Drosophila melanogaster: one gene and its partners. The protein of the gene in region 2 interacts with the protein of the main gene of each other region in a pairwise test. Each region holds a gene or a part of one and is shown on either strand. Other genes may lie near its edges.

Region 1 (4,971 bases), on a different chromosome or scaffold from region 2:
AATCCTGGTGGCTTCGCTCATGCTCCTTTTCGCCGGCTCTACCTTTGCCTTGGCTTTGATCTTTGCGCGGCGGAGGAAACGAGGTAACCAAGCGAACAGCTCCGCTACGCCCAGTGACTTGGTGTACCGAAAGCTGACTGCTTCCACCCAGAGTCTTGGCTGATCGGTAGTGCTAACTCCTCACTCAATGTCCTGTGTTGTGCTGTCACACTTAACTGATTTAGTGTCCTGTACTTATAAGCTCCAACCTGTTTACATTTGTATCCACAATTGAATCTCCCTATTTACGCTTTTTTTGGTGTCGTTAATTACACAGCATGTCCACTTCTTGTGTGTTCTGTATTCGTTGGCTTACTTTTCGTTCAACTTTATTGTAATTAAAATTTATACCGCATTTATATACAAATTATATACAACTTTTTATACAAAATACATAAGCATACAAACAAAATTTACGTTTATCCTTAAGTGTATTCTGTTTTCGTTTTTGGTTTGTTCCAGTGCACGCCAGATCGCAGATCTATGCATGAACTAAGAAGGGAATGGGGTGACTAGTGTTATTGCTCATATAAATCCCATGGTAATTGTTAGTTAATCAGTTGTACCAACATATCCCACAGGTTGCCTGCCTTTCGGAGCACGCGGTCGTCGCCACGCGTGGGAGAAAAGCGATGGCTTCAAGCTGGGCGGACTTCTCGATCGGGATCGCAACGGATTCGAGAAGCTGGACCAGCAGGCCAGCGACGAGGAGCAGGAGACGAAGACACTGGCGAGTGCCCAGTACGCCTAGGCGAAGGACCAAGACTTACGCAGCTAACAAAGCATTCCTAGTTCTAACTACCTGTACCTCATTGAAATACCGACTTAGTTTTACGCGAGCTATGTATATGTGTGTACTTTAGGTAACTTTATTTACCTTCCTTGTGGTGCATATCGCAGAGAATTCCGATCGTGGTGTATTTCTAGTTGATTTATTGAGCCGTTTGTTCAATGTATTTTAAACAGCTTATTTATGGAAACTTCTTTTGGAGAACCGACTATGCGATTTTTTTCCGGTTACTTATATTTATTCTTTATTTAAAAGAATACATTTTTAAAACGCATGCCTCTAAAGAGCTCGAAAATATCTGAAATATTGTAAGTGCCACAGAGTCCAATGACTTGACCACATCCTTTAAATTAATTTTTTTTTTCGAATTAAATCGAAGTTCTCAGCGAATGCGCCTCATATATTGCGATTAATTTGCCAAAAAGAATATAGTCGTATGAATCTGTCATAGTGTGTATTTCGATTATTTAAAGTCTGCGGCTTAACTAGATTTCGTTATAAATAGGTGTACAACATATTGTGTCGACTTGCAAGGCCCCATAGTGGCGAATATGTTTAGCCCCTTTCCTCGTCCCTGGTTGCCACGATCCCAGAAGACCTAGGGTTTAGCTTCTGGCTGGCGGTCAGACAACCTGGGCGAGGAAACCCTCATTCTCCTCCGTTACAATAGCATCGATGTTGTAGAATATAGCATGCATAGCAATCACGAAGCATGAAGCACCCAGCGTCCAAAACAAAACCGCACCCGCGCCCACCAGGAATAGCACTGGTGCCGTCGCCAGATTGAGTGCGATGATCTGCTGGCTGGGCGTCAGTTGTTGTCCCACGATGGTAATGTTACTGTTGCGCACGCGCAGCTTATGGCAGCCAAAAGCGGAAGCCAGGATGACCAGCAGAATGCAGGGAGCCGTGATGCTTAAGATTATAACTATTAAATGGGGTGCAATAAGGTTTTTAGAATCACTTACAGGCAGTATATCATCAGTACAAAAAAGATGAAAACGTAGTTGGCCTGAAAATAGGAGAGATTCCGAATAACCCGGCTATTTAGCCGCTGCATGCTGATGGCCGTTTTGAAATTGTTGATGTTGAAGAAGACTACCCAGGGCCGCAGGGAGTTTCGGACCATTTGGAAGATCTGCAGCGGTGATGGCAGGTTGGATAGCGAGGGCAGGCTGCAGGGTTCAAGAGTAATTAGCTATTCGCTCCTTGTTACGGTTTACTCACCTTTGCATGTCCACGGAGAACCTGCCTCCGGAAGGCGGTGGCGGCTGCATGTTACCGGATAGGTTCCCGCCAGTGTGTGCCATTTTGCTTGTGCTTTCCCAACCTCGTCCTAACACTTATCTTAGATACACGTCTTCGCTGCAATCTACAATTCTTCTTTCGACAAGTGTGGGCGTTCCACAAGTGTTATGTGTATCTTTGGATTCGTTCCACTTGGTCCAAGAACTGTCTTGAGGATGCTGCGGCGTTTGTAAAGCGGCGAGGACTTTAGCGGGGTCACTTCTACATGGAGGCGGCAACACTTTCGATGTTGATTTTACGATTCACTCTTAATTTGCTATGACATCGTTTTCTTTTGAGAAACAGTATACAAAGTTTGAAAAATCTGATGTGGCAGATAGTTCTAGGATTGCCGTTGCCGTGACGTGCGGTGTGGCCAGAGTTGCGAGTGCGCAAATTCTCGAAATCAACTGAAAACAAATCCAAAGCGCTGAATGCAATCAAACATTTAATACAAAACTTTTTCTCTAAACATTTGAATTATTTTTTAATGATATTTTTACACAAAACAATTATATTTTTCTACCTATTACTCGTGTAGTAGATGGTTATACTAGATTCGTTTAAAAATGTATATATTTTTGATATCCTTGTCTATTAACTTGAACTATTAAAGCTAGAAAGTTAAGATTAGAAATTCAGTTTCTTTCTGATGATGCAACGCCACAATTTAAAAAAATGAATCGATTTTTTTTCATTTTATTACTTGTCTTGCCAATTTCTAGAGCTATGCCAAAAACCTTTTACCACGCCCATTTTAACACTGAAATCTGCTACGTCTTCACTTTTATGTGTAGACATTTTTTAATTTTACTATTTGTTATCAGTATGGCAAAAGATATGTTGGATGCGCCCAAACCAAACCAAACCCACACTTTTAAAAAGTTACTTGCCTATTTTTCATCTTATTATTTTTTTTTCCAATTTGTATAGATAAGCCAAAATGAATGTTGAACTTTTCCACCAGCTGAGTAATTGGTATCTGATAGTCGAGGAACTGGACTATATAGTTCTCTCTGCTTAAAAATGTTTTCATCACAGAATTACTTATTATTTCTTTTAACAAGGCCAAACAAAGCAAACATATTAAGCAATTCTTTTAATTTCCTTTTATATAAGTAGGCGTAACGAAAGAAATTTTAAGAGTCTGCGTTGCTTTACAAGTAACAGGTAAGAATCGCGCTGATATTTTAAATATTTTTTGAACAATTTATTTGACGGATAACACAACATCCATTAAATTTTTCTCAGGTCTTCTGGCTAATACATACATATCTTATATTTCTTGTATCTTGTATACACACTCAGGTTAAATGTTACATTTCTATTTACATTTACCAACAAAGAGTTTTAGAAGTTAAGAGAGTTTTCATTTGCATTACCATTATGAATATAGACTATATAATAAAAGTTCTAACTTAGATATATTTACAGATATGGATTTTTGACGTCATAACATATTGCTGGTGTGACACAAGTGATAAGTATTTTTTCACAGTTCCGGTATGAATCAGATTTTTGATTTTAACTTAAAAAAATTGTGTCTTGAAATATTCAGAATGGATTTATATTTGTTTACGGAGATGGAAATTGATTATCATCTTTTTGTTCAACGGTATTTTGGGATTGTGGAGAAAGTAAAAAATAAATCTCGTTCTAGTCACGCGGTATCAGGGTGATGGTGTCCTTCATTTCCAAAAAACCTGTGAATGTATTCGAGTGTTGCGACTGTTAGATACCTGTTACTCAGTTTATGAACCTGCAACATATGGATATGTAGAATTTGAATAATTTGGCGTGTAGCAAGGATATAGCTCTGATCAATCTATTACTACAGTTTTGATATGTTTAAAAGTAGTAGGATTTGAACGTTTCCTGGTATCCAGAAGACTTTTAGGATGTGAGCGTTTTAGGAGTTTAGGGCGTAACAGGGGCGTGGCACGGTTTTAAAGAAAACTTACATGCTTCCTTACTCTTAATGTTTCCGACATCTCGACATTCATACGGACGGACAGGCAGGCCATTATAATTAACCCAAGGAAAGTTGTGGATTGGACATCGTGCCATGAATCATTTTAGCAATCGAGATAAGCTTGAACTTTTAAGACCAACTGGCTTTTGAATTCAGTATTCGGTTAGGCTTTGACATTTCAAGATGGTCTCGATCCATTTTTATTTGGCACTTTTGCTTCAAGCGATTTCCTTGGCGAATTCTTTCCAATTTGGTAAATAGTGGCAACTACAATACAATATACATATCTACAATTTCATCGGATCAGTGTCAGTGTTAAATATATACTTTGGCAGCTCACGGATCTATTTTTGGTCTCAACAATAATTAATACCTTATAATTACAAAATTGGAACTTCATTGGGTTGATTTCGCTACACAAAACTATAGTCTTACCAGGAAAATGCAATCTTTAATAGGATTTCATACAGTGTTACAAATGCTATTTTCGGCCATTTTGAGCTCCATTAATTGGTCAATTTTTGTTACCCCCCTTAGCAAAATTCAATTTTTGCCGACTAGACGAGATTTGCATCCCACTGAGCAAATGTGAACCTCTTATGAAGATTCTACATCCCCGGAACATGACAAACGATCAAAAATCACAGTACCGGAACAAACTATGCAACATTAATCCTTTTGCCCACGAGCTAGTGCACATGGTTTTTACCTGCTGCCCGATGGTTGCAGGGGATAAACTACCAGATAGCAGGGTCTGCGGACAGAGTCCTCCTTCGTCATATATCGTAGGCGGCATGGAGGCACAGTCCAACCAGTTTCCCTGGACAGTCCTGCTGGGTTACGAAGCCTACACAGCAAAGCAGCGACCGTCTCCCATGTGTGC
Region 2 (4,377 bases):
TATAACTTGTTATCGACTATTGGGGTCTGCATGGCCCCAATGTCCTGAATGTCAGATGTACCTTGAGAACTCGTAAAATACTGTAAAGATTTAATCCAAATATCAGCGTTAGTATAAGCAACTGAATTAGAATCTCCTTAGGTGTGAACTACGACAATGGCTGCTATCAGGTCTCAATTATAAAGAATATTATATATATATATATATATTTAAAAGCCAAATCAGTACAATGCCTGGACAACTGCAACACAAAAAGCTATGTATATATGCGAAATAACTTATATCAAATATATATCAATATGCAACTTGGTGTTTCAGTGATAGTCCTACTACAATGTGTACCTACATATGTGTGTTATCTCGAAATGCGGATTAAAATTGTTCAAAACAAAAAATTTTCAGTATTCAACTATAAAGTATGCATTCCTAAGTCAATTGGACGTTAATTTAATTATTTTAAGCTGATTGTTGAAAATGCCAGTGCATTTGCCAACAATCGCGGGTAAAGCGTATTATTCTGAACGTAAATGTAATAAGACTTATGTATAAGTACTTTTGCAGAGATACAAAATGAAATAGTTATAAGGACGTTTATCGCATGCCAAACGATCCTTGATCCTTGATATTTTTTGATTTTACACAACTTTAAAAGATAATATAGAAAATATGGTTATTGTACAAATTATTAAGGATGTTTTGGTAATCCAGACTCTTTTCTTTACAATTAAATTTATTTAAAAACACTTTTTCGATTTTACCAACCTTTAGAGATCAGATTGAAAATGTTGTAAGTGTACAAAAGAATGAGCATATTTTGATTATCCGGACGACTTTCTTCCCGTTACAAGCCAATTTACAAATGCTGAATATGAATATATATATACATATAGTCCGGATCAATATGAGAATGCAGTAGCTTGCTAATAACCTAAGTATATGCTAAGATGTGTAATTTACAAATCTAATTGTTAATGTTACTCGTGTGTATGCAGATTACTACTAACATTCGACTAGACGGCATCTTTTTTTCCTAGCTAGCTTAAATAGAAAACCACGAACGAACATTAATGGCCATTAATTTGCTCACTCTACGAAATTCGTATAAACAGTACTTGAGATATTTTCTACTTGCGCTTAATAAAACAAACAAAACCTAAGCCAGTCGAGATTGTTTGGGTGGGGAGACCGTTTGGCATCCGTCCGACATGATCAGTCTAAATCGAGCAGCGATCAGAGGAGCATGGCGAGATCAGGGCGCAGTTCGAGGTTTCTTATCGGCGGCAGCACTTGCTGTTCGATGCTTCTGGGTCTTATCTGTCTGGTGAGTCGGTGAGTCGGCAGTGGATTAGATAAGGAACTTATTGATTTTCCTCTCGATTGCCAGGCTCTGGCGGACTCATCCCAAGTGAAAGAACGCAGCCCTACCATCTTGGTGAGAAATACAATTCAAGCGGTGGAGAGGCTCTTCAATCAGGTGCTCTACACGACCATCGAAGATGCCCGCCAACGACTACCGGGTCTTCCGGCCAACGAAACCATCGATCGGCAGTACTTCGAGGAGCTCGACCTGGTTGCTGGGAACGAGGACTATTACAGCACTGCATTCTATATCTTCGCCTGGATAAACAGCGACCTCATGTACCATAAGACTCCCGATAAGTTGCTCGTCGAGGTTCTTCCCGGCGAGAAGATCGCCATCCGCAGATTCTTCGCCAAGGTCAAGCCGCATCTTACCAAGTATCTGCGACTCAGTCGACAGGACAGGTCGGAATTGGTTTCCAACGTCACCCAGTTGGCCACCGAAACCAAGGACAGTCTGATCACAACCTTCTTGGAGTTTCCCCAGAACCTGAAGAGCCAACTTCCTGAGCTCCAGCTAATGGACTACACCAAATTGGCTCAGGCTTTGGTGCAGGGGGTGGCCAGTGGTATATGGACGAAGGCTTAAGATTAATAGCTAAATATTTAAACAATATCATAGAATTAGAAAGTGTTTGTAATAAAATGAGAAATGTACTTCAAAGAACAATATTCGGAATCTATTTATACGAGGACTTTATTCCTGAAAAATGCCGTTTAACTTCCGGAAAATTTCCGACTGTCTGATCAACATGTGTAGATATCGAGAACTGATACTTTAAAGCAATAAAGATATTATCGTGACTTGGAACTATATACGACTTTGTAATAACAAAATGCATGGTTTCCACTACCCACTAATTAATATACGAAGGGGCAGCACTCGTTCTTATCACGCTCACCGATTTCTGAAGTCTGATTACAGTCTATACGTTGTCTCACGATCAGTGGGTATTCATTACAGAGGAGGCGTTCTCCCATTTTGTATAAAAATTGTGAATTTAAGAGAGGGAATATAAAAGGAATCAGTTCGATAGAGACTAGATACAGTTTCAAATCATGGCCAGCAGACTAACTTGGACTTTTCTAGTCGCTGTAGCTGCCCTCCAGCTTTCGGTAAGATCCTTAGATTTGCTTATATCCTTTTGGAATCAACAGAAACCTTTAACTTTCAGCTTGCAGCGCCTCTCATTAACAAATGGCAGTTACAATTCGAAGTGTCCAATGAACTCTTTCAAATGGTAACAGACGCCATGGAACAGCTACGACATGTCTTTCAATTGGTCATCGACGAGGCCGAACTCATTTTACCACCAAACTCCAAGGGACACATTCTCAGGGAGCTTAAGGACTTCGTCGCGGCCTTGGACACCCTGGACTTCGATGATTCATTCGAGCTGAACAGACTGGAGGATGCTCTTGAGGAACTGGAAAGCATCATTTCGATTGCAGGCAGCAAAGAATTCGAATCGGAAGCTGACGAGGTTGTCGTTCAGCTATTCATACAGCACGGAGTTGAGGACCTGGAGCAGATCCTGGAAAGAAACTTGGAAACTACTCTGAAAATCGTAGAGCAGAAGGTGGAGAAATACATGAGCACATGGTCCGACAGTCGGTTGGCCAGGAACGCGGCGATGGTCAAGCAGTTTAATGACTTTAAGAACGAAAAGGATGTCTATGAGAAGCTGGACAAGTTAACCAACTCTGATTTCATTTGAATAAACATATCATGTTTCAAGTACATTTAAGTTTAAACCAAATAACTACAGATACATAGTCCGAACGTATATATTATTTCCAGAAACTGCCTTGCAAATATCAAAACCAGTAGTCCAGAGTTCATGTTTTGTATTAGCACGCTCGCCGGAAGCTAAAATTTGATTACATATTGCAGCTGATTTAACAATCAATGAGCATATAATAAATACGCTAGTAAGTGTTTACTACTTAGTGCAGGTATGACGTAAGAAATGTGGAATTCATTTTACAAAGGTATTGAATACCTTAATATACCTTTTTTAGATTTGTAAGCTGTCAGGTTTCAATAGCTTTGAAAGTTTTACTGACTTTCTATTCAATACAATTGTTATTTAGTCTGATAAATAAACCGTGCGGAAAGTAAAATAACTGATTATTTGTAATGCCAAGAATCTTTACATTACACACAGACAAGTCAGTATAATCTCTAGCAGCCTTAACTAGTTGTTTTTGAGAACTCGGAACTTTCATTCATCAGCTTCTCTTAGGAAAGGTGTTAAAAGTTGCGATAAGATGATCCAAATCCATCCCGCGAGTCGAACACATCCCGCTCGATTTGGGGAGGTCCTCTTCCATCCGATGTGTAGCTATAGGATTCGCTCCGGTAAAAGTTGTTAGAAGAGCCCCCGGAACCAAGGGGACCACTTCTACCAGTCGGAATACTGGAACCACCGGCGATAAGGGGGATAATGGAACCACTGGATGGCATAGGTACCTGGAGAAGGTGTATTAGTTTTTTAGTTAGGAAAACGATTGCACAAGATTACCGGTCGAGATACAAAGGTTCCTAAGTTTTGATTGCGGAATGGGGAGTCAGGAATTGGTCGAATGCCTCTGCCACGGAAATCCGGGGAACTGGGAAAAGGTCTGTTGTCGAAGCCGCTGCCTCTGGGACCCACATTGTAATCGGTTTGGAATGCATTGTCATAGTTGGGTTGCTGAAATAGTTCAATCGTCAATCGGATTGTAATACTATGTGTAACTACTTATAAAAACACTTACACGAATGGGGAAACCGTTGGATCGGGGAGGGATCTGAGGATAAAACGGTCGAGGTTGGAAGGGGATAGGTCGGAGTGGAACGTCCTCCTCTTCGTAGGTGTCGGTCACCTCCTCCACTTCACCGCTAGATCTCTTCAAGGATAATAAATATATATTTATTTCCATTTATATTAAGTGTATTGGATGAGACTCACCTCTAGAAACTCGACATCGTTATTTGCTTCGGCCAGGGCAGAGCTGTTTCCGCCATTTAAGGAT
Region 3 (7,624 bases), 1.1 Mb from region 2:
AAATAAACCGATTAAAAACATTTTTGCCATACGTGTATCAATAAACTTCACAGACGATGATGAATGGATAATAAATTAGTAGTTTAGCTGTTATCACCAAGATGACCGTGAATACATTTTATTTCTATGTCTTTCAATCCCCCCAATAAATGTTTACATTTCAATAAATACACAGATTCTAAAAAAAAGAAGAAGACAAGTACATTTTCGATTATGAAAAATAAGTTATGAGGATATTTAAATAATCCACAACTGACATCTAACCCCTTTCCGCTCCCTTCCCGCAGATGCACGGCTACGACCTGAACGGGATGCCCATTCTGCCGCCGCATCCGCACTCGCATCCGGCGCAAGGACCTCCCCACCAGCACCCCCCGCCCCCCGGCGGACCGCACAACCATCAGAACCAGCAGCCGAACCAGCAGCCCGGAGGCAGCAGTTTGGACTCCGGGATCACCTCGCACCACCATCCGGACAGCACCGACTCCTACGTCACCTACCTGGAGAGCGATGACAGTATGCAGGGCAGTCCGTAGACAATCGAACCGAATCTAATCCAGCTTCTTTTGTTGCTCCCAGAATCCAAGCTGGCGCTGACCCCGTCGTCCTCTTCCTCGGCCTCGGCGGGCACATCGATCTCCTCGCCGCCATCGGGCGTCGGAGCAGGGGGTGGCGGTGCCGTGGGCGGTGGTTCAGGTGTCCTGGGCTTGGGCGTGGTGGCCAATCAGTCGGCCACCGAGCAGCTCATGCAAATGCTCCAGAAGGTAACGGGCTCGGCTTCCCCGGCCTCACATGCGGTTCTCTAAAAACAAAGGGCGCGCAGAGGGCGTGGCAGGAAGCTCGAACGTGAGGAGCTGCAGTCGATCTTCATAAACTCGAAAAGTTGTCTTGCAAAATATTGACACCCGTGCTGAAATTCTGGTGTACAATTGAATACTTCTTTAAATACCCAAATCATTTGTACTTTATTCAATAATTTTATCAAAAAGTGTTCCCATTTTACTTCAAAACGATTCGAAGTTTCATCAATAGTTTTATCCAGTAAGTGGAGTTCGACTGTATTCGGGGTTGTGCAATTCTTTCTGTCCGCATTTTCATATTCTACTCATGTGTATTCTGTACATTTAATTTTATTCTGTTTGATTCGGTGCCAAAAAATAGTCTGTAGGCCGTTGGCATTTTGTGGATAATCTGGCTCTGGTTCGTTATGTAACATACACTTTTGTTGTTGAGTTCGAAGAAAAAAAGATCATGAAAAAATTAATGTAAGCTAAACAAAAATGCTCACACACTTGAAAAGTTATTACAATAATTTCAGACACGAAAACAAAAATTATGATAACAAAAGGAAAACAGTTACTTCGCATCAAGTAGGGAATTTCATTAAACATAAATTTGTAAATACCTTTTATATATTAATAATAAACAAATATATTTTCATTCAAAATGCAAAAGAACCGATCGAAAGAAAGCATTCAAAAACGAAAAGAGAATCTGACTCGTGTGTATTATATGGTATTTGGGATGTCAAATCCGAGGCGTAGCTATAAACTATAAAGGCGCACTTGGCAAACTTGTAAATCGAATTAGCAACAACAAAAGCATCTACGTTAAGTTCATAAATTGTATGGCAAAAGAAACACAAAATTATTATAAATAAATAAATGCAGAAAAGCGGACGGGAATTTTATGTAAGCGAGAAACAAAAACTGTAACTAAATCTAGACTTATTTGTTAGTTTTTAAACATTTCCGAAATGCATTAGAAGACGAGGGAGACAACAAATCCGGCAGCGGAAAGGCAGAAAGAAATGACGAAGTGTACCAAGGATGTTTATGAACTGTTTCGTAAAACAACTAATGTATTTTCAATAATATTTAACTAATATTAATAATAAACAGTGCATAAGTAATTTTAGTAACTATAGAAAATGTTTAAATGAAATTACAAACGAAAATAAAACCACAAAAAAACAAGACGAAAAATAACAAAAATACCCTGTCTTATTTTTAAAAGAAGATATTTTAAAAGAAATCATTTCATTTCTTAATTTCGTTGTCACACTGCTTGCAATGCTAAAAAGTACTGCTTAACACAATTGATGAACTGCTTCCATACGGTTTGAGTCACGGTAATGTGTAATATGAATCCAATTGGAATGTGTCTGAACTGCTTCTGTGGTTGGGACCTTTGCTAAGGGAATGGTATTGCATTTTTTAGTCATTATTATCGCTTTGTTAAACGATATTTTTCAAACTTCATACCTTGGTCACACTGTCTGCCAGCTGAGAAATTATTTTTATTTAAATTGTTTAATTAAAAATCTCAAAAAATGTCCATTGCGAAGCGTGTGCAGGTGCGTAAGCTCACTACCCTCAATGTGCAATAGGTAATCATTAAATTTCCTCCGGATTTAGCAATGGGCAACGTTCGCGCGCACTTGGCACATTTACGATTGCACCTGGCAGAATCCATTCGAGTCGGCAAAACTGGTTAAAACGCATTTATTGGGCCTCCAAAAGCCCATTTACCACCCAATGAGTAAGTGTTATCCTTTGGCGCAGTTTTTGTTTAGTTTCGATCTCGACAGCGTTTGATTTAAGCCCTTTTTTGGGGTATTTCGATGTCATTACATCACCGGCGTGTTTTCTTAGTTGTTGTTGTTGTTGTTGTTGTTGCTGCTGCAAGTATAAAATGAAAACAAATAAATTTTAATCCAAAAACGGTAATTATTTGACCATTCAGCCTGCGATTCAAATAGTAGTATGAATTCGGTAATAATCCTTGTTTGTTTAATCCTTAAACAAATATGTTTAATTAAAAATCCTCATACTCATAAGGATCTACTAAATGGTCGCCGATTATATATAGTTACTTCCTCTGCTAAGACTAAAACTACTATTTGGAGCGCAACTGAATGACGGTTCAGGTATTTCATACCTTATTTTTGACCAGTGATTATTGTACTTTTAGGTTAAGCAAGTAATCCCCAACGGCCATCCAATAAAAACCGTACATGTAATTTTCCAGATGACTGCGGGGATCATGTGGTGCTGATCAACACGCGGGAAATCGCTTTGCCCGGTGACGAGTGGGTGAAGAGGGTTTACTTCCACCACACCGGCTATCCTGGTGGCGCTTCGTGGACCCTGGCGTGGCAGCTGCACGAGAAGGATCCCACGATGGTGATGAAGAAGGCCGTGTACAACTCGATGCGCGGAAATCTGCAGCGCAGGCACACCATGCAAAGACTGCACTTGTTCGCCGACGATCAGGTGCCCGAGGAAATCCTGCAAAACGTCACGAATCAAATCCGCACGCCGCGCTCTATTCCCCAGCGTCTGGATCATATCGACAAAGAAACGCTGGAGAACTTCCCCAACATTATGGATTATCCCAAGGATTATATCTTGCGTTGATATGCTGATAGGAAATCATTGTAATTAAGATAAATACAAAATATGGAAAAAGCTTATTGAAGTTTTAATTTTTTTTTTTCAATTCTTATTTTCTATAGCCAAATTTTATGTGATTTTATTGTTTATTACATGGTATAACGGCGGCGACTTCACTAATCTAAAAGCGTGAGATTTTTTTGGGCTGGCAATACTGCAAAAGGGATGCCAGGCAGCTAAGCTTCAGGTTAATTTTTATAGACTTTACAATTTATGTCAGAATAGCAAGAATTTAAAGAAAGTAACTTGGCACTGGAAATAACGTATTTAGTTTGGCAAGCTGCTTAATTTATTTCATAATTAATAGATTGTTGTGTCTAACACTTTGCGATCCTCGACAACCCTGCAATTTACCGGCTGTGTGGCAGTGAATTGCAACTTATTCATCTCATTTGTATCTGCTTCATTTTGCACCCATATCTATCGACGCCGCCCACGAATTATTTTAACGTACGTGAATAAATATACTATATAGAAAGTGCGGTCATCACTTAACGTAAATATCTTAAACCACACAACAGCAGCTGTTAGAATTTAACCACAGCTTTTGGCTTATCTGTGCACATTTTTATGGCATACGATAGCACTATCGCAGAAAGTTAACAATTTTCAAATATTTCTTACTCTTTTTCAGTCTCTACTCGCGGCTTGTGCACTTCACACAAACTACTCCCGATTTACCAAGTACAAAAACGCAACATGGGTCGCTTAGGAGTCGTGGATCCCAGTTCTTACTCGCAGCCCGATTTGATCACCACTGAGCACAGTGCTCTCAACTGGAAGATCGACTTTGCAGCAACCAAAATCCAAGGAAGCGTGCTCCATCGCTTCAAGGTGTTGACTGCCAATCTGGACAAAATTGTGAGTACTTGGGGGAACGCACTGGATCCAGCATAAGAATTCTGGAAGATATTCATTCCGCGGCATGTTCCTAGAACTTCTTATTTACCCATTTACCTTACATGTAACTTAGCTCCTTGATGTCCGCGACATCAATGTAACCAATGCCACGCTGCTGGCCGGAGGCAGTGAGCTCCCGATCAACTTCTTTATCAGCGATGCCGTCGATGATATTGGCCAGAAGCTAACGCTGGAGTTGCCATCTGGAACGGCTAAGGGAAGGTAAAACCTCGGCGATAGATAATCTAATCTATGAAAGTCATTAATAATCTAAAACACTCCTATCTAGCCTTAACGTTCGCATCGATTACGAGACTTCAAGCAGCGCCAGTGGGTTGCAGTGGCTGAATCCCACCCAGACTTTGGGCAAGGAGCATCCTTATATGTTCTCCCAATGCCAGGCAATCCACGCTCGCTCGGTGATTCCCTGCCAAGACACGCCAGCTGTTAAGTTTACCTATGATGCCACAGTGGAGCATCCCAGCGAGCTCACGGCCCTGATGAGCGCCCTTATCGATAAGAAGGAACCGGGAAAGACACTATTCAAGCAGGAGGTGCCCATTCCCGCTTATCTGGTGGCCATTGCCATTGGCAAATTGGTTTCCCGCCCGCTGGGGGAGAACTCCAGTGTCTGGGCTGAGGAAGCCATCGTGGATGCCTGCGCCGAGGAGTTTTCCGAAACAGCTACCATGCTAAAGACTGCCACTGAGTTGTGTGGTCCGTATGTCTGGAAGCAGTACGATCTTCTGGTGATGCCCCCCTCATTCCCCTTTGGTGGCATGGAGAATCCATGCCTCACCTTCGTAACTCCCACTCTTTTGGCCGGTGATAAGTCTCTGGCCGACGTTGTGGCTCACGAGATAGCCCACAGCTGGACTGGTAATCTTGTGACCAACAAGAACTTCGAGCATTTCTGGTTGAACGAGGGCTTCACTGTGTTCGTGGAATCCAAGATCGTGGGAAGAATGCAGGGCGCCAAGGAGTTGGACTTTAAAGTAAGCATATCACTTGAGTTGCAGTTCAGTTACAAGCCTTCAACAATTTCTATCGCTCTTCCTAGATGCTCAGCAATCTCACGGATCTGCAGGAGTGCATCCGCACTCAGCTCAACAAGACACCCGAGCTGACTAAGCTGGTGGTGGATCTATCCAACTGTGGACCCGACGATGCCTTCTCTTCAGTGCCTTACATTAAGGGTTCGACGTTCCTGCGCTACTTGGAGGACTTGTTTGGCGGACCAACCGTTTTTGAGCCTTTCCTGAGAGACTATCTGAAAAAATACGCCTACAAGTCGATTGAGACGAAAGATTTCCAGAGTGCTTTATATGACTACTTCATCGACACGGACAAGAAGGATAAGCTGAGTGCTGTCGACTGGGACTTGTGGCTGAAATCCGAGGGAATGCCACCCGTCATTCCGAACTTCGATGAATCCCTCGCTAATGTGACCAAGGAATTGGCCAGTCTCTGGAGCTCTAAGAGCGTGGCTGAATTGGCTGACAGTGCGGAGATCAAGACGACCATTTCCATTCACCAGCTCATTGACTTCCTGGGCAAACTGATCGAGAGCAAGGACATTGTCGATTTGAACGAAGGCAAGATTAATCTACTGGAATCCACATACAACCTGAAGAGTTCGAAGAACGCCGAGGTTCGCTTCCGATTGAATCGCTTGATTATCCGTGCACGCTTGATAAAACGTCTGGATGAGATCCTCGAATTTGCCAACTCCAACTTCCGCATGAAGTTCTGTCGCCCCATCTACCGCGATCTGGCTGGTTGGCCAGAGGCCAAGCCCGCTGCTATTCGCAACTTCGTCAACGTCAAGGATCAGATGATGGCCGTCTGCTCGCATACAATTGAAAAGGACCTGGGGCTGAAGTAAATCTAAGCCTGTTGCATGCATTTCCGAAGCACTAGAATAATCTTGTTGCATTATAATGATTTGATTGTCACATTTGAACACATTTAAACAGAAGAGAAATAGATTTGATTTCTAAAAAGAACAAGTGAAATTAGTTGATTTTGTTTTTCTTGAATTAGTTGTTTTTATTAAAAAATAAGCAAAACTACGTTTATAACAAGTTGATTTCCATGTCCATGCTCATTGTAATCTTCCAATTCTAATCTTCAATTTTGCTTGCAATTTCCGCGCGTTACCTTGATACCGTATAGTTACCAATTTAATATCCTTTTTAGTTATAGCTCGACATTGACCAATTTCAAGGGTGTTGGTGTTCGTATAACTAATCAAATGGGCGTAGATCAGGTTGATCTGCGTTTCAAATTTCTTGTGGCTTAAATTCTTTAAATTTCTCTCTCGGCTCGTAGTACACATACACACAATATATATTAAATTTATTATTGTTTGCTTTGCTCGGCTGCTTAAATATTTCCTCTCTTGGTGTCTCAACTTCTAATTCCGACGAGTTTCGCGTGTGGTTTTAAACTAATTAACAATTTTGTCCGTTGTGTTCGTTCACTTTCTACGTCGACCAAAGTGCTGCAACATGCTTCCAATTGATTTTCCCGAATTTAATGGCTTAGAGATCTCTGTAACTATTCCCCTTCCTTGGACGCCTGGCCAAGCTCTCCCTGCTGTGTCCTTCGTCTGGCTGAGGCATTAAGAACTATCACGCACTAGAGTTATCATTGGAACGGGACGTGGATGGACCGGCACCCTGATCATCGCCCAGCACGAATGTGGGACTCTGGCGGGATGTGTGATAGTGGTAGCCCTCTCGATAGCGCTGATTGGGTTTCGACCGTGCGGTTTGTGTGTGACCCAATGCTGGACGCTGATTGTTGAGCTCATTGGGTCGTTTGGCTGCAAATGAGACATGTTACCATCACATCACCCCAAATAGAAGTAGTTAAATAGATTCCTTACCAGGTATATAAGGCTTTTGATTATAGGACGATTGTTGTTGTTGGTTATACAAATCCGACGTGGTCGCATTGCCATTGTGATGATATGGCGTCGCCTGCAGATCGGTGCTACAATTAATGGGACTCATCGGCGTCATCTCGCGATCCTCGATGAACAATTCGCTGGCATCGTCGGGCACCTGGCGGTACTGAGTCCACGGCCAGGATGCGATGCCCGACAGTAGAAATGCTTCCACGGCGCACAGATAGCCAATTATCTATTTGAAAGCGGAAGAAACCAGTGCTGGTCATATAAGCGAACTTAATGGGCGTTTCGATCTTACCCCAGTGGCCAGAAGCGTGTCCTTGGAGTGCTTGGATACCCATGTGTATTCAGTCGC

What was found. Proteins that work in one complex are often made in the same cells at the same time.
Region 1: the proteins of OS9 (region 2) and CG1418 interact in a two-hybrid assay, tested with the Drosophila melanogaster proteins (one large-scale study listed by BioGRID).
Region 3: the proteins of OS9 (region 2) and CG10602 interact in a two-hybrid assay, tested with the Drosophila melanogaster proteins (one large-scale study listed by BioGRID).

Annotation. Positions count from the first base shown.
Region 1 is NT_033778.4:9,962,578-9,967,548, forward strand, and holds CG1418 (uncharacterized protein), read right to left. Parts: upstream 2,491-4,971; 5' UTR 2,140-2,490; coding exon 2,057-2,139; intron 2,005-2,056; coding exon 1,798-2,004; intron 1,745-1,797; coding exon 1,453-1,744; 3' UTR 1,258-1,452; downstream 1-1,257. Other genes in the region: Pal1 (Peptidyl-alpha-hydroxyglycine-alpha-amidating lyase 1), read left to right, coding at 1-83, 621-790; CG12133 (uncharacterized protein), read left to right, coding at 4,688-4,971.
Region 2 is NT_033779.5:19,964,518-19,968,894, reverse strand, and holds OS9 (Olfactory-specific 9), read left to right. Parts: upstream 1-2,384; 5' UTR 2,385-2,418; coding exon 2,419-2,475; intron 2,476-2,534; coding exon 2,535-3,077; 3' UTR 3,078-3,231; downstream 3,232-4,377. Other genes in the region: Hf (helical factor), read left to right, coding at 1,241-1,321, 1,385-1,948; CG10680 (uncharacterized protein), read right to left, coding at 3,614-3,832, 3,885-4,055, 4,120-4,251, 4,314-4,377.
Region 3 is NT_033779.5:18,853,869-18,861,492, reverse strand, and holds CG10602 (uncharacterized protein), read left to right. Parts: upstream 1-2,244; 5' UTR 2,245-2,332; coding exon 2,333-2,356; intron 2,357-2,417; coding exon 2,418-2,541; intron 2,542-3,030; coding exon of another isoform or gene 3,031-3,419; exon of another isoform or gene 3,420-3,465; intron 3,466-3,813; exon of another isoform or gene 3,814-3,951; intron 3,952-4,089; coding exon 4,090-4,316; intron 4,317-4,428; coding exon 4,429-4,577; intron 4,578-4,644; coding exon 4,645-5,350; intron 5,351-5,415; coding exon 5,416-6,240; 3' UTR 6,241-6,367; downstream 6,368-7,624. Other genes in the region: tup (tailup), read left to right, coding at 288-516, 580-806; mRpL13 (mitochondrial ribosomal protein L13), read left to right, coding at 2,333-2,356, 2,418-2,541, 3,031-3,419; CG17321 (uncharacterized protein), read right to left, coding at 6,989-7,182, 7,246-7,501, 7,568-7,624.